7 linked regions of the Cricetulus griseus genome follow. The protein of the gene in region 6 binds, or shares a complex with, the protein of the main gene of each other region. Links are inferred from orthologs where the notes say so. Each region holds a gene or a part of one and is shown on either strand. Other genes may lie near its edges.

Region 1 (4,018 bases), on a different chromosome or scaffold from region 6:
CAGAATGAGTTCCAGGATAGCTTGGGTTACACAGAGAAACCTTAAAATAAAAGCTAAAAATAAGTAAATAAATAACCCAAATTAAGAAATAAAATACTTGATATCAGAAAACTAGAAAGTACTCTACCACTGAGCTAAATCCCCAACCCCTACTGCTTTTTAATTGTCCTGCGAAGTGGCAAGTTTCCTTAAGACATTTGTTCCTTTGCTGCAGAAAAAAAAAAGACAAAATAACAAAAAAGACCAAAACAAACAAACAAAAAACCAAAACAAAAGAAAACCACTCATTCATTACTATTAAAGACATAGTGAACGCAGGAGCTGCTTATATTTATATAAATAATAAATAAGCCTGAATATAAACATTATAATTGGAATTATAAAAATAAAATAAAATTATGGAAGACACTAAAGCCTTGTATTAAGTAATTATATAGAAAATTTATTTTTATAGGTAAAATAAAGAAGTAATTCTAGCTGAAGTAAAATAATATGACAGGGCCAGTGAGATGGCTCAGCAGGTAAAGGCACTTGCCACAAAATCTAACAAAGTTTGATCACTTGGATCCACATAGTGGAAGGAGAAAATGAACTCCTCTAAAATTATCTTCTGTCCTTTACATGTACATACACACACACACAAACACAAACACGCACAGTGCACACACTCATAAATAGATAAAATGTTTTTGTTTTGTTTTTGAGAGTAGATCAGATTGCCCTCGAACTCCCACGGTAATGGAATCAAGTGAGTACACGCCTTTAATCGCTGTACTAGGGAGGCGGAGGCACACTCCTTTAGCCCAACCCAGCGACAGGGTGGGACAGGAGGGCGGGGACAGCCAACCCCTATAAAAGAGACACCGTGCTTGCGTTAGCGTGCAGTCAGACCCCAGCCACAGCTCAGCGAGGGAAAAGGACTCCCAGCGCGAGCGAGCCGGTTCTCCGCCTCTGCCTGGTGGGTCCCGGGATCGAACTCAGTTCGCCAGGATCGGCGGCAGTCCCCTTGACTTTCTGAGCGGTCTCGCCAGCTCCAGACAGACTTTTGACAAGCACGCTAGGCCCCGTCCCTCACGCACTGCGCAACCTCTGCGCCTCCCTCATCGCCCTTAGAACTTCGTCGAGCGGCAGTGACGCGAGGCGGCCGCCGGAAGTGTCGCTAAGTGTTGTGCGACTCGGTCTGTACTGCGAGGGGCCTGGACCCGGAGCGATACCGCTATGTCGATCGAAATCGAGTCTTCCGAGTGAGTACTGCGGGGACTTGTCCCGGTGTGGTGTGGCGTAGGGTGGAGGGGGCTCGAGAGGACGTCCGAGGAGGCTGCGGCCTCGGTGGCCTGTCTCCTCTGTGTGCCCGCGGGAGAGCAGCCCTGGGGCGGGAAGCCCGGAGCCCCGCGGCCCGCTTGTGGGGCTGCAGAGGAACACGGGCAGACCTGACTGCTGTGCTTCCCTCTGCCCTCACTCAATGCTGTCCGTGTGCCACCAGCCCCCCAGGCCGCTTTTCTTTCGTCTTAGTCCATAAAGGCTCGGTTGCTTCTATTTGCTCAGTCCCAGTGTGGCGCCGAGTTTTGGTTTGCAGCTTGTAGATGGAGAACGTCGGCGTGGACAGACAGAATTTGAGTTTTGGGTCAGAAGAATGATGTTTAGGAAGACGGGGAAGGCTAGGAGCCGGGCAGGAGTGCAGTTACTGATTGCAGAGTCTTTCGTGGACTTCTCGAGGACTCCACCGCTGCCTCTTCTTGCTAACAAAAATGTGAATTAGCAGACGTTTGTGTTCGGAGTGCAAGGGAGATAGATCTGCCCTGAGATCTGCAGAAGAGGGAGGTTTATTAAATCCGCCGAGATTGAGACCCGCTGTGTATTTTTTAAGACTGGAAATCGGGTGTGGAGTGTGCACATCTATCATTGTAGCACTAAAGAGTCGAGTGGGAAGGTCTTGTCATTTTTTTTTTTTTAAAGGAACCAAGATTTCCTACAGCAATTTGGATGAATCTATCTATCTGTCTATCTGTCTGTCTATCTATCTATCTATTTTTATTTATTTGTCTTGTTTTTTTAAATGGACTAAGATTTTCTATAGCAATGTAGATGGCTTAATCTATTTACTTCTTTATTTAATAATTTAATTATTTAATGATTTAATCTAATTAATGACTATTTATTTGTTTTTTATTTGGCTGGTCATTGTTTTAAATGGACCAAGATCTACTGCATCAATGTAGATGACTACTTATTTAATAATTTAATCTATTTAACGATGTAAGCTACTTATTTAATGATTTTATTTATTTGGCTTGTCAATTTTTTAAAAAATGGATCAAGATTTGCTATAGCAATGTAGATGATTTTATCTATCTATCTGTCTGTCTATCTATGTATCTATGTCTGTCTGTCTATCTTATCTATCTGCCTCATAATTTTTTTAAATTTTGATTAAAGTTGAACATCCCTACCACCCGGTCAGATGCTTTAAAAAATACCATTGACTTGTAGGTTTAAAGTTTCTCACACAAATATCCAGTAAATTCAGTGATCAGAATTATAATGACTACCTAGTTGCTTTCTGAGTGTGAGACATTGGGCAAATGATTTCCCTTCTCTGATTTATAGTTTCCAAGTCCTTTGGAACCTTGATTCTGTGACTTTCGCAATTAAGTGGAAAGTGGGCAGTAAAAGGACTAAGTTGGTGAGTTAAAGGGTTAATTTGGCCTCTGGTGACTGGAGATCTCTGAAATGATGGTTTCCTTGCTTTCTTTTCAGTGTGATTCGTCTTATCATGCAGTACTTGAAGGAGAACAGTTTACATCGGGCATTGGCCACCTTGCAGGAGGAGACTACTGTCTCTCTTAATACTGTGGACAGCATTGAAAGTTTTGTGGCTGATATTAATAGTGGCCATTGGGACACTGTTTTACAGGCTATCCAGTCTCTGAAATTGCCAGACAAAACCCTTATTGATCTCTATGAACAGGTAAGAATGAAAAGTCTGTTATCCTGATGTTTGTGAGTTAGTCCCTTAATTGGGAAGTATCAGTGAGCCTTCCTTCAAATGCTCAAGGGATAATATATAAGTGACTGTAAAATATACATTGTCATGACTCAACAGTGTATTTTTTTTCCTTCCTTCTTGGAAGTATTAACCAAATTTAAATTATTTCTTGGTATGGTTTTGAGGCTGAAACCCAAGGAAACTGAATTAACTTTTTAGGTGGTCATAAAATAAGTATTCTCAAGTTGAGCATAATGGTTTGAGACCAGGTGGTCTACATAGTGAGTTCCAGGCCAGCCAAGGATATTTAGTGATATAATATAATGTGATTCAGCTAAGACACTGACCACCTGGAATTAGCACACATCGCTAAGTTTGACATAGATTTCCCTCACTTTATATACTAGCTGTACTGTGTTGGGGTGTGCTGTGACAGGGTGAGGGGGAGTGGGGAAGGGCTTAGTATGGCATTTTTAGACCATTTGAGCTTTTTTTCTTCTTTCTTTTTTTTTGTTTTCTTTTTTTGTTTTTTGTTTTTTGTTTTGTTTTTTGGCTGTCCTAGAACTAGTTTTATAGGTTGGCCTCAAACTACCTCCTCTGCTTCCAGAGCACTAGGATTGAAGGTGTGCCCCATCACTGCCTGACTTTAGGTCACTTAAGTTTTTGGTCAACTGACTAAATTTGGGGACTCATGTGACATGCTCAAATTTGATAATTTACTAGAATAATCCATAGAACTTAGAAAAGCTCTGTATTTATGTGATTACAGTCTTATTATTAAGGACACAGTTCAGAACTACCCAAAGGACAAGACAGAAAGAACTAAGTCTAAGAGACCCCTATGTAGAACTTTGGTTTTGTTTCAGTGGAATTGGGTTGTGCCTCCCACCTGGCAAATGACCAACCAGAGGGTTCTGTTGTACTGTTCAGCAGGGTTATGTAATAAAACACAATTTCCAGTCTTCATCTTCCACCTCCCCGTTGGTTCTTTGTCCCAGAGGTGGGGCTGGCTTAAAAACCTTAACCTATTAA
Region 2 (3,500 bases), on a different chromosome or scaffold from region 6:
TGGATCTCCAGCATCCACATAAAAGTATAGTGTTGGGGATAAAGATAGGCAAATTCTTGGAGCCCACTGGCTGGTCAGCCTGTCTAACCATAGTGGTGAGCCCAGGCTCAGTACAAGACCCTGTCTCAAAAAAATAAGGTTGAAGATGATAGAGGAGGCTACCCAGTGTCAACCTCTGGTCTCCATGTGAGCACTAGTGAGGATACCCATGTGTACACACACACAGTCTCTCTCAGAAATTGTAAATAAAATCTGAACTTGCTTTTGCATGCTTGCACTGAGAGAGAGGATATTCAGGCAGTGGGTATCTACAACCAAATCTGACTATAAAGAACTTTTTCTCTGTAGGTAGGTCTTTCCAGTCCTGCATTTTCCTGTCAAAAAGCCAAATTGGAAATTACCTTTAAAAAGCCCCGCCAGCTGGGCTGAGTCAGAGTTAGGCTTTTCTGCTGAAATCCATTCCTTGTGTTGGAGGATCTAATTCTAAAATTAGTAGTAAGCCAACTTAGAGCACTGAAATTTCTTGGAATAAGTACATCTGCCTTCTCATTACATCTTTCTAACTGTTCCCTGATGTGTAGAGAGAGGCTGTGGCTTAGGCAGCATTGGAAGAGACATCCCCTCCCCCCTTTTCTAGAAGCCATTAGTCTCCCTGGGCATTTTCCAGGCATTATGACCTGATTTAAGAAGACCCAAATCTGTGTCCGTCTTGCTCTGTGTGGTTTAGTTTGCACAGGGTGGTAGGAAAGCACTTCTTTCCAAAGCATGAAGTTCTGGTTGGACTAACGCACAGTCAGTTGAGACCTCATGGTGTTAGTCAAGCTACAGGGTGTGAACAGAACTTGCTAGAGGATAGACCTTCTATTATAACATGAACTCTTCCCGCCAGCCTGGTCCCATAGCCACATCAACCGCAAATGAACACACAAGACTTATATTAATTATAAAGCTGTTGGCCGTTGGCTATGGTTTCTTTTTGTTTGTTTGTTTGTTCTTCAAGACAGGGTTTCTCTGTGGCTTTGGAGGCTGTCCTGGAACTAGCTCTTACAGACCAGGCTGGTCTCGAACTCACAGAGATCCACCTGCCTCTGCCTCCCAAGTGATGGAATTTAAGGCACGCGCCACCAATGCCTGGCTGGCTATGGTTTTTTATTGGTTAGCTCTGACTTAATTATTAACCCATAACTACTAATCTGTGTATTTCCTCATGGCCTTATCTTACCGGAGAAAGGTCCAGGGACTTGTTACTCCTCTGGCGTCTTACATGTCGACTGCTCAGCACAGAGAAGAGAAGAGAGTGATTTCCTGTTTGTCCTTGCTTATGTTCTGATTCTGCCCAGCTACATCACTTCCTGCCTGTCTGTAGTCTGTATAGACTGCCAGACCTCTATGGTTAGCTAGTGGCAAGCTCCATTCTCTGACTCCCAGACAGGCTTTATTTGTGCAAGAAAGATACACCACATTTTATAGTCTGTGTCATGGATGTCACAGATTGTTTTGAAGATTTATTTATTATATATACAGTGTTTTTCGCATATATTCTTGCACACCAGAAGAGGGTACCAGATCTCATTACAGATGGTTGTGATGTAGTTGCTGGGAATTGAACTCAGTACCTCTATAAGAGCAACCAATGCTCCTCTGGGTTATCGATGTCTCTAGCCCCTGTGGTGGCTGATCTTAACCATAAAGTCACCTTTACCTTGCCTTCTGCTCTGTTTAGCTGGTAGGGCCAGGGGTGTAAAAGATGTTGAAATGGATGGAGGTTTGAATTAAGTAGTCACAAAGGTTGTGATATTCATTATTTGGTGTGTTAATTTTTCTCCTCCCAGAAATGGCCCTGAATTTGAAGCCAGGATCCGACAGAATGAGATCAACAACCCCAAGTTCAACTTTTTAAATCCCAATGACCCTTACCATGCCTACTACCGCCACAAGGTCAGCGAGTTTAAGGAGGGGAAGGCTCAGGAACCCTCAGCTGCCATCCCCAAGGTCATGCAGCAGCAGCAGCAAGCCACTCAACAACAGCTGCCCCAGAAGGTTTGGAACCCATCTCCTCTTTGTGGGTTAAGGAGGACATAAGGTGGGTGGGCATATCTGCTGTCCACCGTCATAGCCACCATGGACAGAAGTAAAATTACCCTCATGTTCCAGAAGCATTGATGATACATAGCACTTTTTGATCACTGGTTGGTCAAGCTCTGTGCTCTGGGTTCAGATCATGAAAAGCCCAACAGAACAACTGTTTAATAGATGGCAAAGGTGAGGCTTGTCTAAATACGAAATATTAATTCAAGGAGTAAGAATTAGTTGTAGTATGAAAACAAATTATGACCTGGATGAGCTAAGGGAGATACTGTAGCCTTGTGCCATTTCTTCCCTTTCGTTTGTGCTGTTTGGGCCCAGGGGTGTTGCAGAACTAGGGACAGTCAAAAATGTCAATGAAGATGGAAAGTGCAGTTTGTCTACTTTGTAGACAAACTGGTCTCTTCATTTTGCACCATTCCCAGACTTTTGTGGGAAAAGCAGCCTTTTGTTTAGCCATAAGAAATAAAAGTTGAAGTCATGTTTAAAGACCTTGCATTTCAGTTGCTGCTTGTAGGGCCTGAGTTTCTCGTTTATAAAAAGCATTCATAGTATCTGTTCTGTCTGCTTCAAGGTTCTCTTGGAGGGCCTTGATGTACTTTATACGGTGGGATTCACCACACATACACATGCACATGGGCCTTGCAGATTAGTTAGATTTTATAGCCTATTTCCTGTATATTTTTGCCACCTCTTTAGGCCTTTGATTTCAGGATGGGATCAGAGATGTAGATACTTAAAACAGATTAGGGAGTTGAGGCATAGTTGGATGAGACACCAATGCTCTTGGTTGCCAGTCTTCTTATAGCAAGTCCCAGTGATGCTTACAATGAATAAAACATTGGAGTCTTTGGACATTCTGTGGAGTTAATTTACTTCTGTTCTGTTCTTGTTCTACACTTTCTGTCTTAGGTCCAAGCCCAGGTGATCCAAGAGACCATAGTACCAAAGGAGCCCCCTCCTGAGTTTGAGTTCATTGCTGATCCCCCCTCCATCTCAGCCTTCGACCTGGATGTAGTGAAGCTGACAGCTCAGTTTGTGGCCAGGAATGGACGCCAGTTTCTGACCCAGCTGATGCAAAAAGAGCAGCGAAACTACCAGTTTGACTTTCTCCGCCCACAGCACAGCCTCTTCAATTACTTCACAAAGCTGGTGGAGCAGTATACCAAGGTGCTGGGTCAGGGCAGAGGATAGTGTCTCACCACTGGGAGTACAGCATTCACTCTGTCAGCAAGGGCACTTGCTTTGTGGAGTATCTGGGGGAATGTGAATCCCAACTTAATGTAAAATCTTGACTCTGCGAGCTCGAGCGCGTGCGTGCGTGTGTGCGTGTGTAAGACTGCAGGTGCTTTTGTGCCTTGCCATGGAACACACTTGGAGTCAGAACAGTGTTCAGTTCTTTCCTTCTACTGAGG
Region 3 (4,043 bases), on a different chromosome or scaffold from region 6:
GAGAGGAACCACTGTTATCATGACTATGGACTATACTGGTGCTCAGAATACTCTACCCTTCTTGCATCTATGACCCCAGGTGTCCTCAAAAGGTAGTATTGGGTATAGCTTCTGCAGACTCCAGGCCCGAGAACCACACATACAAACGGCTGGCAAATCTCTGCTGTTAATGGGAAGTGAGGGCTTCAAGCACCTGGCTTAGAGGAACCCACAACCACCGCGCCCCCCAGTAACCTTGTCATCACCTTGAGAACAGAAAACCACACTGGGGGGAGCGGGCAATTCGGCCCTCAGGAAATGAGGGGTGCCCTCATCCTTTATCACACTGCGGATGCTTAGACTCAAGCTTCCCGCTGGGCGGGGACGGGGACTGGGCCTGGGAACTGACTGTGCCAGGGACACCTTGACCTAGGACAAGGCAGGAGCGGACAAGGACGCTGGGCCTGCAACCGGGACAGGTTCGCAAAAGTCAGCCCCAGGTTGAGCCCGCCTCGCGTGGCCTCGCCTACCGCCGCAGGCAGAGCTCCCCGCCCCCGTGAACCCACACATCGGAGCTCGCTCACCTGCAGCCGGGTCACCAGGAGGCTGTAAGGCGCCATTTTGTGCACTGACAAAGATGAGGTCGCGTGAAAGTGACGTGCCACAGGGCGCTTTTGAAGTGCTTGGGAAGGGGCGTGGCCTCCAAAGCGGCGCGTCACGGTGAGGGTGGGGCCTTCCTCCTCGGAGCCGGAGTCCAGAGAGCGCAGTGGGCGGGGCTTCCATGACGGGCACAGCGCGAGAAAGAAACTGCCAGCTTGTCAGTCTTTGCACTTGGGGACGGAGACGGCAGCGGAGCCAGGAGTTCAAGGTCATCCTTCACGCCTTGAGACTCAAAAGGGAACCCCCAGACCACATATTTTGCGGAAGCATGCGTGAGGCCCTGGCCTCAGCCCCGAGCACAAAAAGTACCATGTGTACAAAAGTTTTTTGCGAGACAGGTCTGGCTGGCCTCGAACTCAGAGATCCGCCTCCCGAGTGCTGGGACTAAAGGCGTGTGCTACCACCAACCAGCCATATGTAGGAATTTTATCCAAGACAAAAACACTTAGTTTATTCGTTCAAATCGGGAGGGAACAAAAACTTTATTATAAAGTCTTTGATGCACCTGCTAGGGGTCCAGCAAGTTCACGCTGAGAAAACTCGCGAGAACTAGCGAGATTTGGTGCAACGAAGGGCAAAAGCTGATGGGCACCTTGACGGCCAATCACGATGGAGAAGTGGGTGTAGGAACGGCGTAGGTTAAAGGTCGAGCGGAAGTTCTCTAAGCTTCCGGCCGCCGGCTTGGGGACGAGTGATGGCTAAACACCATCCAGATTTGATTTTCTGCCGCAAGCAGGCTGGTGTTGGTGAGTTGGCTCGCCGCTCCCTTCCGTTGGAGTGGGATGGTGTTAGAAACGGGAGAGTGGGGGGTTCGCTTCCTCTTTAGGGCCTGGCCTTGGGGGCTCCACGTTTCGCGCCTTGCGGTCCCTGGGTATTCTGGGGGTGCGCCCAGGTTTGTGACTTGTGATAAGAAGGCAGGATCGCGCGTCTGGGAGCCTGAAACTGGGGGCAGCGTCTGCGCTAGGTCTGGAGAAGCCGTCCCAGGTTGCTTTGAGGATTCCGGACAGGGCGCTGGTGCAAAGCAAAACTTAGGGGCTTAGGCCGGGCGTGGTAGTTCACGACTGTAATCCCAGCGCCTGGGAGGCTGAAGGCAGAAGATTGCTGGGGGTTCGAGGCCGACCTGAACTACATAAGAAGTTCCAGGCTATAAAACGGGAATCTGTTGGGAGGAGGGGCGTGGAGAGGGGAAAAAAAAGGATAATAAGACAGCTATTCTGCTCACTGTAGTCATTGCTACCTGCCCCATCCTCTATCCCAGCTTTGAGGAACAACTTCCTTGCTAAATCACCATTTTGATTTTAACTGTGTTTTTTCTTGCAGCTATCGGAAGACTGTGTGAAAAATGTGAGTGGAACATACCCTCTCACACATTGCCTTCTTTCTTTGTTTTTTGACGAGCCAACAAGCCATTTATTCCAGAGGAGCCCTAAAGAAGCATTGAGTGGATATGCCAGACTGCAAAGAACACTGAATCTCTGACTACAACCAAAGGCTCCCCACCAGACTCCCACTTTAGCTTGCATACTTTAATATTTCATACTTAGGTTGTGGGGGAAAAATACTTTTGGACAGTAAGAACTATCAGAGTAGTGTGAACCTTCCCAGGCCAATGTTTGTGCAAGAAGGCATGCAATTTGTTGATGATAACTACATAGACTTAAAAGCTCCTAGCTAACACGTCAAAACTCTTCCCATTTATATTTTGAAGGAAACTGAGGTAGATGGTAGATATAAGATAGGGTGGATGCTGTCAAGATAGAGAAAAGGCCTGAAGTCACAGTCAAAGGGAGACTGGTTATTTCACCCATAGAATAAAGATCTTTAGGAAGTAATCACTAGTGAATATAACTCCATTCCTCTTCCTTTGCAGGTGATGGCAAATGTGTGATTTGTGACTCCTATGTGCGACCCTGCACCCTGGTTCGCATATGTGATGAGTGTAACTATGGATCTTACCAGGGCCGGTGTGTGATCTGTGGAGGCCCCGGAGTCTCCGATGCCTACTATTGTAAAGAATGCACCATTCAGGAGAAGGATGTGAGTGTAGACTTGAGCATTCCCTCCTGGCCTTTCTTCCTTTTTCTTTGGACCATTTTGCCATCCATGTCCATCTCTTCTGGTCTATGGAGACTGCAATGTTCAGCTAGTCATGTAGGTAGAGGTTATTATCATCCTCCTTTTATACTCTGTCCCAGGCTATCTGACTAAATCTGGTGTCCACATTACATCATGTTATGCTTCTCTAAGACCTTCTTGGTGTGTGCTCATGATGAAGAGAGCACCCAGCCTCCTCAGCACTCCACATGTGGATGCTACCTACCACCAGTACCCGAAGCCAGATAGGGCTTTAAGGAGGGAGGGGGGTTGTTCTACGTGGTGCGGAAGGTGATCTATGATAGCTGCATTTTCAGTTTTGATTGACTTTATCATCAAATCTCAAATCGGGTCTTACCACATCCAGCAGATATTGATTGGGGAAGCCACATTTAGGCATTAGCTAGAGTTCCCAACTGAGAGCTTTTTCTCCATGGATGAGCTCCAGGCTTTTCTTACTGCCTGCATGCAGTTTATGCCACAGGACATACAAATGATTCCTGTTGGGTATATCCTCACTGTTCTCAGTGCTGCAGAGTTTGGTTGTGTTTGGTTTGGTTGAATTTCTTTGTTACATCTATTTGTGTGGGTGCATGTGGTATTAAGAGGACAGCTTGCCTGGAGTTGGTCCCACACACACACACACACACTAGTGAGTATTTTGGCCCACTAATACTTTTATGTGCTTACTGTTTTTCCCTGTCCTTCTTAGAGAACCAGATTGGTGCTTGGCCCAGAATGGAGTTTTAGAGCAGCTGAAAAGTATTGTTTACTCTGTTGAATCCACTATTGTTTGGGAAAAGGGGAATGTTGTTGATTAAGTATGAAATCATAATTTCAGTTGGTGGTTTGAACATTCTCCTGCCCTAAATGCTCTTTCCAATTCTTTAGACAACCAGAACTCGATTGTATTCTGTCTTCCACAGCTGTGGATTATGTCCTCCATCTTTCCTTTTTCTCGGGTCTTGGTAATAGTGCCTAATCTGTAATACAAGGATGGTGCTCTCTTTTTGGTACTGTGCCTATAAAGTGTTCCTGGGAGACACTCCCCACCCTGGGCATTTGTTATTTAGGAACTGGGAAGTACTGGGTGTAATGGAAAGAGGAGGGACACACAGTTCTCAAGCTAAAGGGTCCCTGAAGAGACAACACTTTCTTGAGCTTTCAGAAATGTCTAGAGTCTGTTTCTGACTTAAGCTTGGAACCAGAGGATGCTTGCTAAACAGTAATTGCCATCTCACTTGTCTGCATGCGCCCTGTGATCTGATACCTTTGGATCCCTGCCCCTCATTCTGCTCCCTGAGAATTAT
Region 4 (4,093 bases), on a different chromosome or scaffold from region 6:
CTTCAGGAACTATTAAGAAAACTGACACCAAGAATATCTCCTGAGGATCACTGCAAGAAGAGAGATCCAAATACCATCCTCTCTCAGATCCGTTGAGACTGCTAGCATTCTCGAAGGCAGGGCAGAGGGAATGTGGAGGGAGTTCTGCTCATGTTTCTTTGTATCTGACCTCAGTGTTTCAAGCTTTCACATTCCAGCCCATAAAGGAGCTCACTCCGTGAGTGAGTTTCTGTAGCAGACATGGAGCTACCAACCTCCAGCTATTTTTGTTTCTCTGGAATAAGAAACAAAACCACTTCAGAACGTTTCCTTTTTTTCTCTGGCAATTCCATGCCGTTTAGATGACAAACTGTCAAAACTGTGAGATCAGAGACACTTCATCAGTTCCAACAAGATGCCCCAGAGACTTCATTCTCAACCCCTCACACTGCTTTGAAATCCAGTTTCTTAGTCTTCTGTGGGAATGAGGGAAATAAGGGAGACACCCTGTCCTCCCACTGTATATTTTTGTAGTGGTATTTCTATTTAAGGACTTCATTAAAGCACAGTATTTCTACACATTGCTGGTATTGTTTCTTGTGTTGAATGAAGATCTCGGTAAAGTGGTTGGGGGAGGGTATGCACTGAGAGAAAAGCACCCAGATTATTGATACAGAAATTAAGGACCCAGTTCGAGGCCAGCCTGGTCTACAAGAGCGAGTTCCAGGACAGCCTCCAAAGCCACAGGGAAACCCTGTCTCGAGAAACAAAACAAATAGATAAAAAAGAAGTTAAGGACCCAAAACAGGAGGGGCTATTCCGACGAAATTTGGAGAAAGAAGCACCAACCCCTTTTTTTTTTTTTTTTTTTTTTTTTGAGACAGGGTTTCTCTGTGTAGCCCTGGCTGTCCTGGCCCGGGAGGAAGGCTCTCTGAGTGTCTCTTCTGTGGGAGGGGAGGGATGCACGGTGCTGCCGAGTGCTCCCGAGGCTGAGACTGACCGTGAACACACGCGGCACCGTGCCTCAGATGACCCCACGAATAGTGGGGCTCAGACACTTCCGTCTGCACTGAGGTAACAGGCTGCGTCCCGAGGCAGCCGGCCCGCCCCTCCCTCCCCCCAGCACGCTTCTCTGCGTCACAGAACATACAAGGCTGAGATTAGGGCTTAAATTTGGGCTGGGGAGCAGCGGGACTGCCTGACAGGCGAGAGCCGCGTCGTCAAGAGGGGCCTGAGCGCCTCGGCGCCAGCCGGGCGTCGTGAGAGCTCCACCACAGCGTCTTTCCAGACACGCGTCAGACGCCTAAGATGGCCGCGGCCACTTCCGGCTCCTCCCCTGCCGCCCGCCCCGCCCAATGGGAGCCTTGGCCCGGAAGTGGAAGTCGTAACAGGTCAGAGGGCGGTGCTGCCGCTTAGAGACGGCGGGAGCCTCTTCGCCATGGCTGCCGGGCCCATCTCCGAACGGAATCAGGGTAATTGGGGGAGAAGAGCCCAAGGTGGGCCCAGGGAGGTGGAGGGCAGATGAGTGCTAGAAGCGTTAGCGCCAGCGTGGGAAACTAGGTTTCCCCGGGAAGGCCCGCGTCTGGGGGCTGGGCCTGGGGGCCGGGTTGAGGCCGAGGCCTGTGAGGGTGATGCCTCTGGATCCGGTTCCCGTAGGCACTCCCGCTGCTACCAAGCGCATCATTGAAACTCCACCGGGAAGTACACAATCCGCAAGAACGCCACATTAGACTTGAGCGGGTTTTTTTATACTAGGCAGGCAAAGGGTGATCTCAGGGTTTTAGTTACTTTTTTTTTAAATTTCTGTTTTCCTTTTAACTCGTGACCTCGTCCTTACCTTCTGCTTTCTTGCTTTAGATGCCACGGTGTACGTGGGCGGTCTAGACGAGAAAGTGAGCGAACCACTGCTGTGGGAGCTCTTTCTCCAGGCAGGGCCGGTGGTCAACACCCACATGCCAAAGGATAGAGTCACTGGCCAGCACCAAGGTGAGTATTTACGGCAAGAAATGACTTTACTTTGGGTTAGCGGCCCCTGAAGCATCTCAACACTAGTCACAGCTATTTTGGAATGGTTTCTTTCTCTAAGCTTCAGTTGGCAGTTTGTTTCAGGAGTAGTCTCTTAGCTTTAGTTTGAAGTTGGGATTCTTCCAACTTGTTCTTTGTTTGGAGGCTGGTGAGTTAGTGTGTCGTTTTGAATCTCTTCATCTGAGTAGTCTTTTCTTCAATTCCCCAGGCTATGGCTTCGTTGAATTCTTGAGTGAGGAAGATGCTGACTATGCTATTAAAATTATGAACATGATCAAACTCTATGGGAAGCCCATACGGGTGAACAAGGCTTCAGCTCACAACAAAAACCTGGATGTAGGGGCCAACATTTTCATTGGGAACCTGGACCCAGAAATCGATGAGAAGCTGCTTTATGATACTTTCAGCGCCTTTGGGGTCATCTTACAAACCCCCAAGATTATGCGGGACCCTGACACAGGCAACTCTAAGGGTTATGCCTTCATTAATTTTGCCTCCTTTGATGCTTCGGATGCAGCAATTGAGGCCATGAATGGGCAGTACCTGTGTAACAGACCCATCACTGTGTCTTACGCCTTCAAGAAGGACTCTAAAGGCGAGCGCCATGGCTCAGCAGCTGAACGACTTCTGGCAGCCCAGAACCCGCTGTCCCAGGCTGACCGTCCTCACCAGCTGTTCGCAGATGCACCCCCTCCACCCTCTGCCCCCAATCCTGTGGTTTCATCCCTGGGTTCTGGGCTTCCTCCACCAGGTAAAGCTTTTAGTTCAAACTACACCAGTGAGAGGCCCTTGGGAGGGAGGGTCAGAAGGCAGAAGAAACCCTGAGGGAGTAAGCTGTTAACTCAGCGGGCAGCGAGAAAGGGATGAGGAGTGCTGGTGGAAGGGATGCAGATGTTGGGTTTCTTTGGGAGACTGGAGTTTAGTGTGCTGGAAGGAAGCTAGAGCTCTGTAAGACAGTCTTTCTTTCTTCACAAGATAGACTCTCGTTTCTTGTATAGGCATGCCTCCTCCTGGCTCCTTCCCACCTCCAGTGCCGCCACCTGGAGCCCTCCCTCCTGGGATACCCCCAGCCATGCCCCCACCACCTATGCCACCTGGGGCTGGAGGACATGGCCCCCCAGCAGCAGGAACTCCAGGAGCTGGGCATCCTGGTCACGGACACTCACATCCTCACCCATTCCCACCAGGTGGGATGCCCCATCCAGGTAAGTGGTCTGCTGGGAAACGGAGATGAGCTTGTGAGAGTGATTCTGTCACTGCTCTTTGTCTTGGGTGGAAATAGTCTAGAGTCTCCCTTTCCTTCAGAAAATACTTCTGTGTGTACTTCAGCTCCCTCCCGTCTTGTCTCTGGTTTTTCCTTTTTCTGCAGAATAGCCTGTTCTTACTGTTTTTACTCTCAGCCTCTCCTCTGATTCCCAGGAAGGAGCTCAGTTGCCAGATCTAGGCGACATTTTTGCTTATTTTTTTTTGTTGTTGTTTTGTTTTAGGGATAAGGTCTCTCTGTGTAGGATCCTGACTGTCCTGCAACTCATTCTGTAGACCAGGCTGGCCCTGAACTCAGAGATCTGCCTGCCTCTGTCTCCCAAGTGCTGGGTTTAAAGGTGGCACTACCACTGGGCAGCCGTTTCTGCTTTTTGTTTTTGTTTTTCGAGACAGGGTTTCTCTGTGTAGTTTTGGAGCCTATCCTGGCACTGGCTCTGTAGACCAGGCTGGCCTCGAGCTCACAGAGATCCTCCTGCCTTTGCCTCCCGAGTGCTGGGATTAAAGGCGTGCACCACCAACGCCTGGCCTGTTTCTGCTTCTTAACCACTACTATACACATGACGAGCTATGCATGTATTAAACTGTTTCCTCTATGTGACTTATCAACCTCAGCAACCTGGGTCAGCCCCCTTTTTTGTCTGTGTAGATTTTGTGCTTTGTTCTTCTTCCAGTGTTTATTTGTAGTGTTAAATGTGCAGGTACTGATTCCTTCTGTCTCTAGTCCATGGTTCTTGACAGGCTAGACAAGGCTGCTGCTCAACCCACAGTTCACTTTTCTCCTTCCAGCATCTCCTTCTACAGCCCTTGTTTGTAGCAGCTAAGTTCA
Region 5 (3,980 bases), on a different chromosome or scaffold from region 6:
GGCTTGAACTCACTATAGCCTCAGATAGTCCCTGAGTTTGTGATTCTCCTGCCTCTGCCTGGGAGGATCTGTAGCTGGGATTCACAGTATGGTTCAGGAATGCCTTTTTTGAGACAGTAATAATAAAGGTTAGATGCAAGTTATAACCTGGATGATGGGAGCCAATTGTATTAACAGTTCACTATAAGAAAGGGGCACAAAACGTAAAAGCTCAACCCTGTTCTATTCTAGCTATATAATTTTTGGCTGATTCTATGTTTAAGTTTTCTAGTATCTACGAAAGAAAGCACCCATTCATAACATTAATGAAGACTAATGGGAATGAGTAAGGTACACAGCACAAGCCCTAGACATGAAGTGCTCAACGTTATTGAAATTCTCAGTCCCTGAATTTGCACTGACTAAGGCATAATTCGGAAGGACCTACATTGTCACGGAGAAGCATGTTTTACCTGAAGTCCCCTCTGAACTGCAAAAACTAGTGGTTCGTACAAGATCCAGTCAGACTCCATATATATGTTGTCAGTTATAAAAAGCATCACACAACTAGGTAAATGTGAATCTCATCATCGGAAGTTCGAGTTTTGGTCCTCAGCCGGGCTTTCCCACGACGGTTGGGAAGCACCCCGCCCCCCCGCCTTGTTTTCTTTTTTGTCTAACCCGTATTCCGTGACCCGGGTCCCTGCCTCCGGTAGTCAGTACTCACCGTAGCGGGCCCACAGCTTGGGCTGCACCTCCGAACATTCGCGGATTAGAATGGGAAGGCCGGGGTGCGCTTTCTTCAGATCCACGTAACGTTGCTGGATGAAATCCCTGTAGGGCCGGGGAGACCGACGCTAGTGCTACGGGCACTGACCCCTCCCCCCCGAAGGTCAAGGTCATAACTCCAGCTTCCGAAGCCCACTCGCCTCCCCACGCCACGCCTCACCTCACCTCACACCCTGGCTGCCCGGCGAACGCTGACATAAGTGGATGCGAATCTCACGCAGCGCCAGCTTGGTACCGATCACTCGTCTAGCAGCGGCGGCCGCCATCTTTGCTAACACAGAGGCGCCCAATCACGACTCTTCACCCACCCATCGGACCAATAACAGGTCCTCTAGTCTCCTCCCCCCGATTGGATGACGAAGGAGGGGCGGGGTAAATCTCGCCAATGACTTGAGGCCTTTTTAGCGGCTGTGAGGTGAGACGCTAAGGAAGCCGGAAGGCCCGGAACGCAAAGCACTGGGGCAAGTTTTCGCGGTGCACTGTGGGAAGAAGCTTGTCGCTGTTGTTTTGTAGAGGAGATTTTCACGATTGCCGGCTTTGAGAGACCGCGGCCAAAATGCCAGAGCGAGATAGTAAGTCAACCACTGTTTTGTGCCCGCCGGACTAGAGATTTAGGCCAGGTGCTAGGTACAGATGGAGCCGCGCCAACCATTGGTCGTCAGGAGAGGCCCGGACAGCCCAGCTGCAGCCCCTGAGTTTCGTACCTAGGTTGAGGAGCGGCGTTTTGAATTTGTGAGGCAGACCCACCTCCCTACCCTCTCCTGAGTAAATAAACCCTGGCTGTGCTTCCTTTTCGGGGACTTGGTTTGTTTATCTGACACGGGAGGGGAGGAATTCGTCAGGTAAACCTCAAAAGTCCCGAGTATTTGGGATTGCCGGATGCTGGGCTCTTTCGTGTAGTAGTTTAGAAGCCATCTCTTGAAAAAAAGTTTTTGATTCTCCACTTCGTTTAAGAAAACCATCTTCATAATTTTTTTTTTTGAACAAGTGAGACGGAATCTCGAACCTAGGCGGTTTTCAAATTCTTGATCTCTTTCTCTACCTCTCAAGTGCTGGGGTGATAGCCTCAGGCCACCACAAACATCCCTTTCCCTCTTTTTTTTTTTTTTTTTTTTTTTTTTCGAGACAGGGTTTCTCTGTGTAGCTTTGGAGCCGGTCCTGGCACTCGCTCTGGAGACCAGGCTGGCCTCCAACTCACAGAGATCCACCTGCCTCTGCCTCCTGAGTGCTGGGATTAAAGGTGTGCGCAGCCACTGCCCCGCCTGCTGCACCTCTTGTCTTCTCTTCTGTTCGTTTTTATAATTGCCAGTTTGTGCATGGAACCTCACACATTTAACGACTGATAATGTAATGTCAATTTTTCTTTTTAAGGTGAGCCCTTTTCTAACCCTTTGGCTCCAGATGGCCACGATGTGGATGATCCTCATTCCTTCCACCAGTGAGTATTTTGTCTTTGAACCACAGAATGAGTTGAGTAATGAGCAGGAGGGATGGTAGAGATAGTGAAGGAATTCTGAATATTTTGTTGGCAAGAATGGTCAAAAAGTTCATAGGATGTGGTTTATTGAAAGGAAAACGCTAATCTGTACAACATGCTGTATTTTCCCACAGAAAGCTTTATCATAAGTTCACTTACCTTACCAAGATATGTAGTTTTGCTTAATTTTGTTAAGTTATACAGAATGATTGCATTGCTTTGGGTGTCTGTTTTTTAGTAAAGTTGTGCTTATGAACCAAAAAAAGAAGTTTGGACCATTTATCTCTGTGAACATTGTGAATCATGTACACTACATAAGAGTATTAGAAGAGAAATTATTAGAAGAGTCTGGTGTTTGTGTTGCTGTGATATATATATATATATAATAAATTTTTTTTCCTGGTGAAAACTAAGCGTTGGAAATGAGAGTAAAATCGTCTTTTTTTACCTCATATTATTACTTGGAGTGTGTGAGTGGGTGCACATGTGGAGGTCAAAGGACAACTGTAGGTTGTCTTCATCCTCCACCTTGTTTTGAGATAGGGCATTTTTTGTTCATTTCGGGCAGCCAGATAGGTAGTTCTGTAAGCGTCTGGTAATTCTTCTGTTTCTGTCTGGTGATAAGGCTTGTGCTAAGATTACAGACACTTTTATTACTGTGCCCAGCTCCTATGTGGGTTCTGTAGACCTGAACTTAAGTAGTTAGGCTTGCATTCAAGCACATCTCTCTCCCCAGCCCTCTTTTTTTTTTTTTTCCTAGAGATAGATTCACACTTTATCCCAAACTGGCATGGAACTTGTGGCCTTCCTCCTCCCTCAAGTTTCCTGAGTGCTGAGATTGCAGGCATTAACTACCGTATCTTCTTTTTTTAAATTTTTATTTATTTGAAAGAGACTTCAATCTGATCATCCTCCTGTCTCAGCCTCTCAAGTGCTGAGGCATGTGCTCCTGTACAATAATCCAAGACACCTCCCTTCTCCCCCCCCCACATTTTTTTTTTTGTTTTGTTTTGTTTTTTGGTAATACTGAAGATTGAATCTAGGGCCTTATACATGAGCTAGGCCCTTGTCCTTTAGATACAGCCCAGGTTTGCTTCAAATTAGCAGTCCTTTTGCCTCGTTTCCAGCATTTGCCACCACTGTGCCGCCATGACCAGCAAGTCTCATTTTTGACTAAGCCTTGTCCTTTGTTGTAAAGTTTTAGTAAAGAACTAAGCCCCCACTCCAGCATTCCTGCAACTGTATGAGAGTATCCATGTTTTGCCGAGTATTAGTGGCGCAAGCCTTTAATCCCAGCACTCAGGAGGCAGAGGCAGGCGGATCTCTTTGAGTTCAAGACCAGCCTGATCTACAGAGCTAGTTCCAGGACAGCCTCCAAAGCCACACAGAAACCCTGTCTTGAAAAACCAAAAAAAAAAAAAAAAGAGAGAGAGTATCCATGTTCTAAAATTTCAATCACATTTGATTTGATAAAACTTTTAAGCTAGATGGTGGTGATGAACATCTTTAATCCCAGTACCTGGGAGGCAGAGGCAGGCAAATCTTGAGTTTGACGCCCACCTGGTCTACAGAGTGAATTCCAGGACAGCCAGGGTTACACAGAGAAATTCTGTCTTGAAAAATCAAAAAACAAACAAAATCTAACTTCTATGTGTTGAAAGTGGCATGTCTGCTTTCATTTGTGTTTCCCTTGTTTTAGTAAAGTTAACTGTGTGTTTTAAAGGTCTCTTTTCTG
Region 6 (3,500 bases):
CCATCTTGTTATTAAATTGAAATGTGATCATTTAAAGTTTTCCTCAGGTTGAATTGTAGTCTTAACAAACAACTTGTCTGTGGAATCACTGCTGTGAAAAACTGGTAGTTAAAGGAGTTCAGGGCCTAAACCTATCAGTCTATGAGGGGTGTTTGTTTTGAGACTCTGTGTAGCTCAAGTCTAGTTGTGAACACACTATTCTACTGCCTCAGCCTCCTGAGTGCTGGGAGTACAGGGTTAAGCTGCCCTGCCTGACTAATTGTGTAAGATTGAAGTTCAAGACTGTCCTTGGTGCAATTACATATGAGTTGGCTAGCCATATCAAAAGCATATGTGTAGATATATAACTATTAATGGGTCTAATAAATTTTTGAAATAGTACTTAAGGTAATTGGAACACCTGTAAACTTATGTTAAAATTGTTTTTATGAGTGACAAAGTTATAATCAATGTAATTTGACTCTTTTAAGTGGAAGAAAACACTAATTTCAGATGCAGGTTATAACAAAACTTCATTTCACTAAATGTCAAAGTTCCTTTTTGACTTCTGAACAAATTACATAAGTGTTTGGTTTTTCTTGTTTTTTTTTTTTTGTTGTTGTTGTTGTTGGTGGTGTTTTGTTTTCGTTTTTTTTTGTTTTGTTTTGTTTTTCATGACAGGGTTTCTCTGCATTCCTTGCTGTCTTGGAACTCACTGTGTCAACCAGGCTCAGGCTGCTGGCTTCTTCCTGCCTCGGCCTTGTGAGTGCTGGGATTAAGTGTGCCACCGCCACCCAACAGTGTTTTGTGGGGTTTCGTTGTTTGTTTAATGTGGAACACTAGGGCCTTTTCTCTTATCCCAGTCAGTAGCCATTATATAACTTTAAACCAGAGAATAGTTTGTCCTTTCATAGTTGTATTTGAAAGCTTAGTACAATAGACATTTTCCCCTTGTTGTGCAGATAGCTGATCTGGCCAATGAAGATACTCCACAGCTGTATGTCGCCTGTGGTAGAGGACCCCGGTCATCGCTGAGAGTCTTAAGGCATGGACTTGAGGTAAGATGGGAATTTCTTGGTTCTCTTTATGATGTGAAAGGAAGGTCTGCACAGAACATTGTACAGGCTAACTTTGAGGAGGTCAAAGATAAACTACTGTTTTTATGAACAAATATGTACTTTCTCTTGTCCCTGAAGTTTATGGAGTTCAGATTACTTTTCCCTTACTAGTTCATTCCCTATGACATCTTAGCGGAAGTAAATAATATTTTCCATGACCATTTGAAGTTAGAGTTTGTGGTTGGCAAAGGTAGGTATTAAGATGACTGTCATCCTTTTTCTTTCCTTTTTTAAGATTTATTATGTATGCAGTGTTCTATCTACACATTTGCCTGCAGGCCAGAAGAGGGCATCAGATCTCATTATAGATTATTTTGAGCCACCATGTGGGTCCTGGAAATTGAACTCAGGACCTCTGGAAGAGCAGTTAATGTTTTTTTGGGGCGGGGGGCAGGTGGAGGCAGGGTTTCTCTGTGGCTTTGGGGGCTGTCCTGGAACTAGCTCTTGTAGACCAGGCTGGTCTCGAACTCACTGAGATCCACCTGCCTCTGCCTCCTGAGTGCTGGAATTAAAGGTGTGTGCCACCAACACCCGGCTTCAGTTAATGCTCTTAAACTATGAGCCATCTCTCCAGCTCCCCTGTTGTCTGTTTCTCATCAAATTTTGTTGAAATATTGCCAAGATGACCTTCGTTTTAAATATGGCTTTAGTAAATAGCAACTTTAAACTTTTGTTCTGTAAAATTCACTTAATGATGGCATTTGCCCTAATACATTGTTGTTTGGGTGAAACAGCTTAAGATATGACCTTAAAACTATAAAAGTGGAGGTGCATGTCCGTAACTTGAGCCACAGTAGTCAAAAGTAGAAAGATTTTTGAATTCAAGGCTAGTTTCATTATTTCACTAAGTTTTGAGTGGCCTTGATCAAATTTAGAACCAGTAGGCCTACCTGCTTGACTTTCCTTTTTCTTCTCTTCCTGTTATCCCCACCACCACACCCCACCACCACCACCACCCCTTTTGTTTTGTTTTGAGACAGGGTTTCTCTGTGTAGCCCTCCTGTCCTGGAACTTGTTCTGTGGACCTGGCTGGCATCAAACTCACAGAAATCCACCTGCCTTGCCTCCTGAACACTGGGATTAAAGGTGTGCGCCACTACCTGGCTTTCTTTTTGTTGTGTTTAAAGAAAAGGTCTCATTGTACCTAGGGCTGGCCCAGACAGAGCAGTCCCACTGTCCAAATCTGCATACCAGGAGCTGAAGTTCTCAATTACTTACTGCTCATTGGCTCCTAGTGTAGTGTAAGATAAAGGATTCCAGAGTTGCTTTTTAGTGCCTTGCCCTCTGTCCTTACAACTTTATAAGCAGAGCTTTTGTTGTATTTTGGAAATAGTTAAAAATAGTTATTGCTTTGTTCCTTCTTGTATACCTGTCTTACTTTTGACTATAGTCTTAATATGAAAAAAACCAAAAAAACCAAATTTTCTATTAGTTGAGTAGGATACTTGACACATAAGTTTTACTAATGAAGTTCTTATGTCTTAATGTTCTTGGAAACTGAAAAGGGTAGTGCCTTGTTCTTTCTATAAGTACAGTGTATGAAGCACTCTGTCTCTGAGTCATTTAATAATATTTAATAAACTTAGAATGGGTTTTTCAAAAAAATTCCAAAGGTAATAAATAATCTTTGAAGAGATATTATTTTTATCTTGTGAAAGTTAGAGAAAGCAATAAAATACTGATTTAGGTTGTTTCATTTGTTTCCAATGGTGCTTGTCTTTTGTTGTTGTTCTTGAGACAGAGTTTCTCTGTAGCTTTGGAGCCTGTCCTGGACCTTGCTCAGTAGACCAGGCTGGCCTTGAACTCACACAAATCCACCTCCCAAGTTCTGGGATTAAAGGTGTGTACCACCACTGCCTGATTTTTTTTTTCTTTTTTTTTTTTTAAGGATATAGGCATGGCATATTCAAAGGAAGCATATAGTTTGGTTGTAAACCTGTACCCTTCTGTATGTTCCATGCCTTTTTGCTGTCAAGGGATTGCCTGTGCCGTCAGTCTTTGGATTTTACATTCTTTTTTCACTAAGTGTTCCAGTTCTTTTAGTGCACTGTACAGGGTGAGGCCTTTGCCTTGGGATAGTGTCACCTAGCATAATATTAAGTAGTAGAGTTTCATGCTCACTGGATCTGTGGCTTGCCTGCTCTCCTTTTAGGTGTCAGAAATGGCTGTTTCTGAGCTCCCTGGTAACCCCAATGCTGTCTGGACAGTGCGTCGGCACATTGAAGGTAAGTGTCCCTTTCCTGGTAGTCAAGATGGGTCTTGGGAACCATTGCCATGGGAAATTTAGAAACTGCATTCATAATATGTCTGTATCGCTTCATTTAGTACCCCAGAAACTTCTGGCAAGACACACCTTTTTTTGAGGCTTCTTCTGATCAGGGTACCTTCATTTACTGCTGCTCT
Region 7 (4,100 bases), on a different chromosome or scaffold from region 6:
TCTGATCTTAGGGGCATGCTCGATCACACACAAATACACGTATGTGTACATATTGATGTATTGTTTTAAGGGAGAGGTGAAGACATCAGAAATTGACATCTGGCCTCAATATACACGTGCAAGAAGCAGAAATTAAGGGTAGTGATGGAGAACCCCGTGATGATGGAGGAAGACATGAGGGCCAAATGTCTACAGGACGGTACTGTAAAGATCACCAAGGAAGAAGGCTGAATCAGATGTCACTTCAAAACCTCAGAAGCCCTGCCGGCGGGAGGAACTGTTTATGCCACACCAACAAAGTCTGCGCAGGCTGCTCATATCCCTGCCGTGAACAGGTACTGAAGGCGGGGAAGAAACTATGGTCGCACCAGCGGGGACCAGACCCGGGGGCAATTTGACAGCTGATGCAGCGCTGGGCCCCGGAAACTCGGGATCCAGGACAAACGGAGGTTGGGGCGGGGGTGGGGAGGGGTGTGCGGAGCAGAGTCCGGAGTGGGGACTGTGGGGACCGGCGCACTTACTGATGGAGAAGCCGCCGGGCTCTTCCTGGGCCACTCTGCAGCGCTCCAGCAACAGGGCTCCGAGGGGCTGCGCGAGACACGGCCATGAGCGCCGGCCGGCTCCGGGCCGCGCGGGCCCCCCGAGCCCCCCACGCCCCTACCTCGGCCTCGTCCGGGCGGAAGTAGAAGAGGAAGTTGACGACCAGCTTCACCAGCCGCCTCTTGGCCACTGCGGACACGGGGCGGTGTCAGCGGGAACTGTCCTCCTCCGCCCCCCGGGGAGGTGCCCAGCCGCGGCCCCGGCTCGCTCACCGCTGCCCTTCTTGGGGCCCCGCATGCCCAGCTCGGCCGCCATCTCCGCCGGCTGACGGGACAGCGCCTGCAACTCCTTCTCGTTGTACCGCATCACGCCGTGGGGACCCGCGCGAACCGGAGGGCGCCCTGCCTCTCGGCCGCCGTCCGCTCGGAAGGTGCGCTCAGCACCACAAAAGTCTCAGGGAACATTCCCGGAAGTCCCAGCAGAGCTACTGCGCCTGCGCGCCGGGGCGCTAGCGTGTCTGCGGGCGCAGTTGCTCGCAGAGTCAGAAAGGAAGGAAGTCGCCCGTCCTAGGTAACTGTCAAACACACTAAACGTGAGGTATCAAGCTAGATCCGTAGCACCCCCTGTCAAGCGAAGCGCGTTCCGAGGCTGCTGAGACATAACGATTTCGTCCTGTCGCGATACTCAGCGAGAGTTCGTGAATAACTCAGTGCGCGTGCGCACTTCGGACTCCGGCGCTCCTTTCACTCGCGCCTCTTTAAACCGAGTCCATCTTCTGGGCATGCGCACAACCGAAACTCCGCCTTATTTTCCCCCGGAAGTGACTGCTTAGTCCGGCCTGCGCGTGCGCACAGCGAAATCGTGGGCCTCGCGGACGTTACGCCTGGGCTGCGCGGCCTTTGGCGCCGGTGAGGTGTTACTCGGCTTGTTGGTGGAAGCTACCCCGGCTTTGGTGTCTCGGAAGGGGGTCGGAAGCAGCAGCGAGGGCGCGGGGCTGGACGGAAGGGCCGGCCGGCGGGCGGCGCGGCGGCGCTCGCGCGGCCCAGTGGCCGCGGCGGCATCGCGGGCTTCCGTGGCGCGTCTGCGGCCCCCAGCGTGCCCCGGTTCCTGAGGGTCTTTTGAGCTCCTTGATTGCCTCAGCTTTCCTCGTCGTTAGTCAGGGCCCTGGCGACTGCTGCTGCCGCCCACCCGAGCCGGTCCTTTGCTGGGACTGGAAGATAACGGTATTTCCATCCCAGGCCGTCTCCTTCTCAGACAGCACTTCGTTTCCCTGTCTCGTTTGTCGGTGATCTTATGGTGGTCCGTGAGGTAGCTCGTCTCCATCCATCCGTTCTCCCTCCTGCCCCACGCCTCACTTGTGAGCGCATCCAGGCGTTGGCAGAACTTCTATTTCAGACAGTGTCTCCCTGCCCAATTCTGGCCGACCAGGAACTCTTACCTCACACACATCGCGGTGCCTCTGCCTCCGGACGACTGGGATTAACAGCATATGCCGCCGCACCTGGCTGTTTAATTTGGAAGGGTTTATTACCGCTGACAGTAGGAGTGCAATTCAGTTTGGTGGGGAAGTTTTGTCCCAGGAGCTTGAGGCAGCTGTAGTCAGGAAGCAGAAAGATAAGTGCTGGTGTTCGCATTGCTTTCCCCGTGTTTCTTTTTCCGGGACTATCTTTTCTTCGTGTGTATGTGTGTCTGTGCATGTGAATGAGTCCAGATCCACTGGAGCTTGAGTTTCGGGTGGTTGTCAGTTGCCCAGTTTGAGTGCTAGAAACTGAACTTGGATCCTCTGGAAGGACACCAAATGCTTTTAAGACAAGATTTTACTGTGCAGCCCAGGCTGGCCTCCAACTCGGGTGTCTTCCTACCTTGGCCTCCCAAGACAAGAGCTGATGTGAAAGGTGTTTGCCACCATGCCCACCACAATTGCTAGTGTTTCCCGAGGTTGAAAATGTCACAGGCTGGGAAAGGTAGCTCAGTGGTGAGATTTTGCAAGACTCTGCTCCTACCCCAGAACCAAGGCGCATGCTCACCCAAGCTAGTTTTGTCCTGGGTTTTCTTGTTTTTTTTTTTTTTTTAGCCTCTCCAAAACAGATGAATTGCATTTTTCATTTAGTGGGTGCCCACACCCCTACACGTGAAAGCAAGACTCTAGGGGCCTTGAGTTGTACCCTCAAGCCTGTGGCTGGCTGGACACCAGAAGTCAGAGTAGGTTTTCATGCTGTCACTGCTCCAGGTACCCTCTTGTTCTGGGAAGCCTGCGGCCAGCCTTGGACTCTGCTCTTGCATCTGGCCAACTTCATCTGTGGGTCTGTGTCTCCTGGTAGCTTTCGAAGGTATAGGCAGTGCTTTTCTTTTTCAGTCCTGTGTGGCTGAGCATGAAACAGACCAGACAGGCTGGTCCTGCCCACAGACAGCTTCAGTACACATGAATGCTCTCAGCCATCCCAGCGTCTTAAGGCCCATGTGTCCCTTGGCTTTTGCCCCTTCCTCCTCCAGAGTCAACAGCCAGCGACCTCACTGTGTCTCTGCCCTGAGTCCTTCTGACTCCATGGTGACACTACCTGGCCCTCGGAGTTTTTGATATCATTTTCAAAATTCCTTTTGCTGTATGAGGCTCCAACAATGATGACAAGGACTGCCCTCCACTTGTCTCCTGGACATGTCCCTGAGTTTACCTCTGGGTTTAAACCAAGGCCCTGGGGCAGACAATGAGCAGTCTAAAGTGTTCTTCCTAGTGGACAACATTCAGGACTTGGAAGACTAGGAAAAAACATAATCCTTGTGTGTCAGATGGGTGTGTGAGGTCTTTTAATCCCAACACTTGATGGATCTCTGAGGACAGCCAGGTCTACTTAAAGAGACCCCCCCCCCCATCTTAATATGACACAGCAGGCAAAGGTGGCTCATACCTGCAGTCACTTGGGAGGATCAGGAGTTTAAAGGACAACCCAGGCTACATGAGACTCTGCCTGTCCCCCACCTACCTCATAACCAAAGACAGATATAATGGCACACCCCTGTAATTTCAGTGCTTACGGGGACCAGGAGTTAAACTAGCCTGAGCTACACAGTGAGTTTACAGCTAGCTTTGGTTACGTGAGACTTGAAAAAAATGACACTAGCCTAGGGTCTTGGGCTGGTTGCTTCTCCACCAATCCACATTCACTCTAAGGGTAAGGTGGAATCCAATCTGGAACATAGAAGGCAAGGGAAGGCCTGCTTGCTGCATGAATGTGTGCTGTTCTGAATCTGTTGCCCTTTTGTTCCTCCAGGTTTCTGTGTGTCCCTGAAGCTTCCAGGCCTTCACCATGGACTTCCAGCACAGACCTGGAGGCAAGACTGGGAGTGGGGGCGTGGCCTCCTCCTCTGAGAGCAACCGGGACCGCAGGGAACGCCTGCGACAGCTGGCCTTAGAAACCATTGACATCAACAAGGTGGGGGGGTACCTACAGTAGGGGTGTGGAGGGAGCAGTGTCCCCACACCTACAGACCCAGGTTCATGGGGCCAGGCTCTGCGATCTAATGGGTACATATGTTCCCTCCAAGGACCCATATTTCATGAA

Evidence for each region.
Region 1: Sf3b3 (region 6) and Smu1 share a complex: the UniProt entries of both Homo sapiens proteins name them as parts of the spliceosome B complex. The link is inferred for Cricetulus griseus from reciprocal best matches to the Homo sapiens genes SF3B3 and SMU1.
Region 2: Sf3b3 (region 6) and Sf3a1 share a complex: the UniProt entries of both Homo sapiens proteins name them as parts of the 17S U2 SnRNP complex. The link is inferred for Cricetulus griseus from reciprocal best matches to the Homo sapiens genes SF3B3 and SF3A1.
Region 3: the proteins of Sf3b3 (region 6) and Phf5a are in contact, whole or in part, in a crystal structure (PDB 7B91), measured with the Homo sapiens proteins. The link is inferred for Cricetulus griseus from reciprocal best matches to the Homo sapiens genes SF3B3 and PHF5A. Residues at the interface, in NP_036558.3 of Homo sapiens: Gly85, Arg86, Gln104, Glu105, Thr106, Phe107, Gly108, Lys109, Ser110, Leu140, Ile154, Ser155, Ser156, Pro157, Glu159, Ser1162; in NP_116147.1 of Homo sapiens: Gln14, Ala15, Gly16, Val17, Arg44, Asp47, Glu79, Asp81, Arg82, Asp83.
Region 4: Sf3b3 (region 6) and Sf3b4 share a complex: the UniProt entries of both Homo sapiens proteins name them as parts of the SF3B subcomplex of the 17S U2 SnRNP complex. The link is inferred for Cricetulus griseus from reciprocal best matches to the Homo sapiens genes SF3B3 and SF3B4.
Region 5: Sf3b3 (region 6) and Ik share a complex: the UniProt entries of both Homo sapiens proteins name them as parts of the spliceosome B complex. The link is inferred for Cricetulus griseus from reciprocal best matches to the Homo sapiens genes SF3B3 and IK.
Region 7: Sf3b3 (region 6) and Sf3a2 share a complex: the UniProt entries of both Homo sapiens proteins name them as parts of the 17S U2 SnRNP complex. The link is inferred for Cricetulus griseus from reciprocal best matches to the Homo sapiens genes SF3B3 and SF3A2.

Annotation. Positions count from the first base shown.
Region 1 is NC_048595.1:101,849,611-101,853,628, forward strand, and holds the start of Smu1 (WD40 repeat-containing protein SMU1), read left to right. Parts: upstream 1-1,218; coding exon 1,219-1,244; intron 1,245-2,757; coding exon 2,758-2,968; intron 2,969-4,018. UniProt on the Homo sapiens protein: Involved in pre-mRNA splicing as a component of the spliceosome. Regulates alternative splicing of the HSPG2 pre-mRNA. Required for normal accumulation of IK.
Region 2 is NW_023276807.1:100,723,356-100,726,855, reverse strand, and holds part of Sf3a1 (splicing factor 3A subunit 1), read left to right. Parts: intron 1-1,832; coding exon 1,833-2,040; intron 2,041-2,997; coding exon 2,998-3,255; intron 3,256-3,500. UniProt on the Homo sapiens protein: Component of the 17S U2 SnRNP complex of the spliceosome, a large ribonucleoprotein complex that removes introns from transcribed pre-mRNAs.
Region 3 is NC_048595.1:379,006,418-379,010,460, reverse strand, and holds the start of Phf5a (PHD finger-like domain-containing protein 5A), read left to right. Parts: upstream 1-1,243; 5' UTR 1,244-1,333; coding exon 1,334-1,385; intron 1,386-1,959; coding exon 1,960-1,983; intron 1,984-2,509; coding exon 2,510-2,676; intron 2,677-4,043. Other genes in the region: Aco2 (aconitate hydratase, mitochondrial), read right to left, coding at 564-599.
Region 4 is NW_023276806.1:60,350,896-60,354,988, reverse strand, and holds the start of Sf3b4 (splicing factor 3B subunit 4), read left to right. Parts: upstream 1-1,293; 5' UTR 1,294-1,417; coding exon 1,418-1,451; intron 1,452-1,836; coding exon 1,837-1,965; intron 1,966-2,212; coding exon 2,213-2,755; intron 2,756-3,002; coding exon 3,003-3,209; intron 3,210-4,093. UniProt on the Homo sapiens protein: Component of the 17S U2 SnRNP complex of the spliceosome, a large ribonucleoprotein complex that removes introns from transcribed pre-mRNAs.
Region 5 is NC_048595.1:200,783,572-200,787,551, reverse strand, and holds the start of Ik (protein Red), read left to right. Parts: upstream 1-1,180; 5' UTR 1,181-1,324; coding exon 1,325-1,340; intron 1,341-2,139; coding exon 2,140-2,206; intron 2,207-3,980. Other genes in the region: Ndufa2 (NADH dehydrogenase [ubiquinone] 1 alpha subcomplex subunit 2), read right to left, coding at 707-813, 934-1,034. UniProt on the Homo sapiens protein: Involved in pre-mRNA splicing as a component of the spliceosome. Auxiliary spliceosomal protein that regulates selection of alternative splice sites in a small set of target pre-mRNA species. Required for normal mitotic cell cycle progression.
Region 6 is NC_048596.1:187,226,287-187,229,786, reverse strand, and holds part of Sf3b3 (splicing factor 3B subunit 3), read left to right. Parts: intron 1-941; coding exon 942-1,037; intron 1,038-3,249; coding exon 3,250-3,322; intron 3,323-3,500. UniProt on the Homo sapiens protein: Component of the 17S U2 SnRNP complex of the spliceosome, a large ribonucleoprotein complex that removes introns from transcribed pre-mRNAs.
Region 7 is NC_048598.1:101,580,251-101,584,350, forward strand, and holds the start of Sf3a2 (splicing factor 3A subunit 2), read left to right. Parts: upstream 1-1,300; 5' UTR 1,301-1,448; intron 1,449-3,809; 5' UTR 3,810-3,845; coding exon 3,846-3,971; intron 3,972-4,083; coding exon 4,084-4,100. Other genes in the region: Plekhj1 (pleckstrin homology domain-containing family J member 1), read right to left, coding at 522-588, 662-729, 813-906. UniProt on the Homo sapiens protein: Component of the 17S U2 SnRNP complex of the spliceosome, a large ribonucleoprotein complex that removes introns from transcribed pre-mRNAs.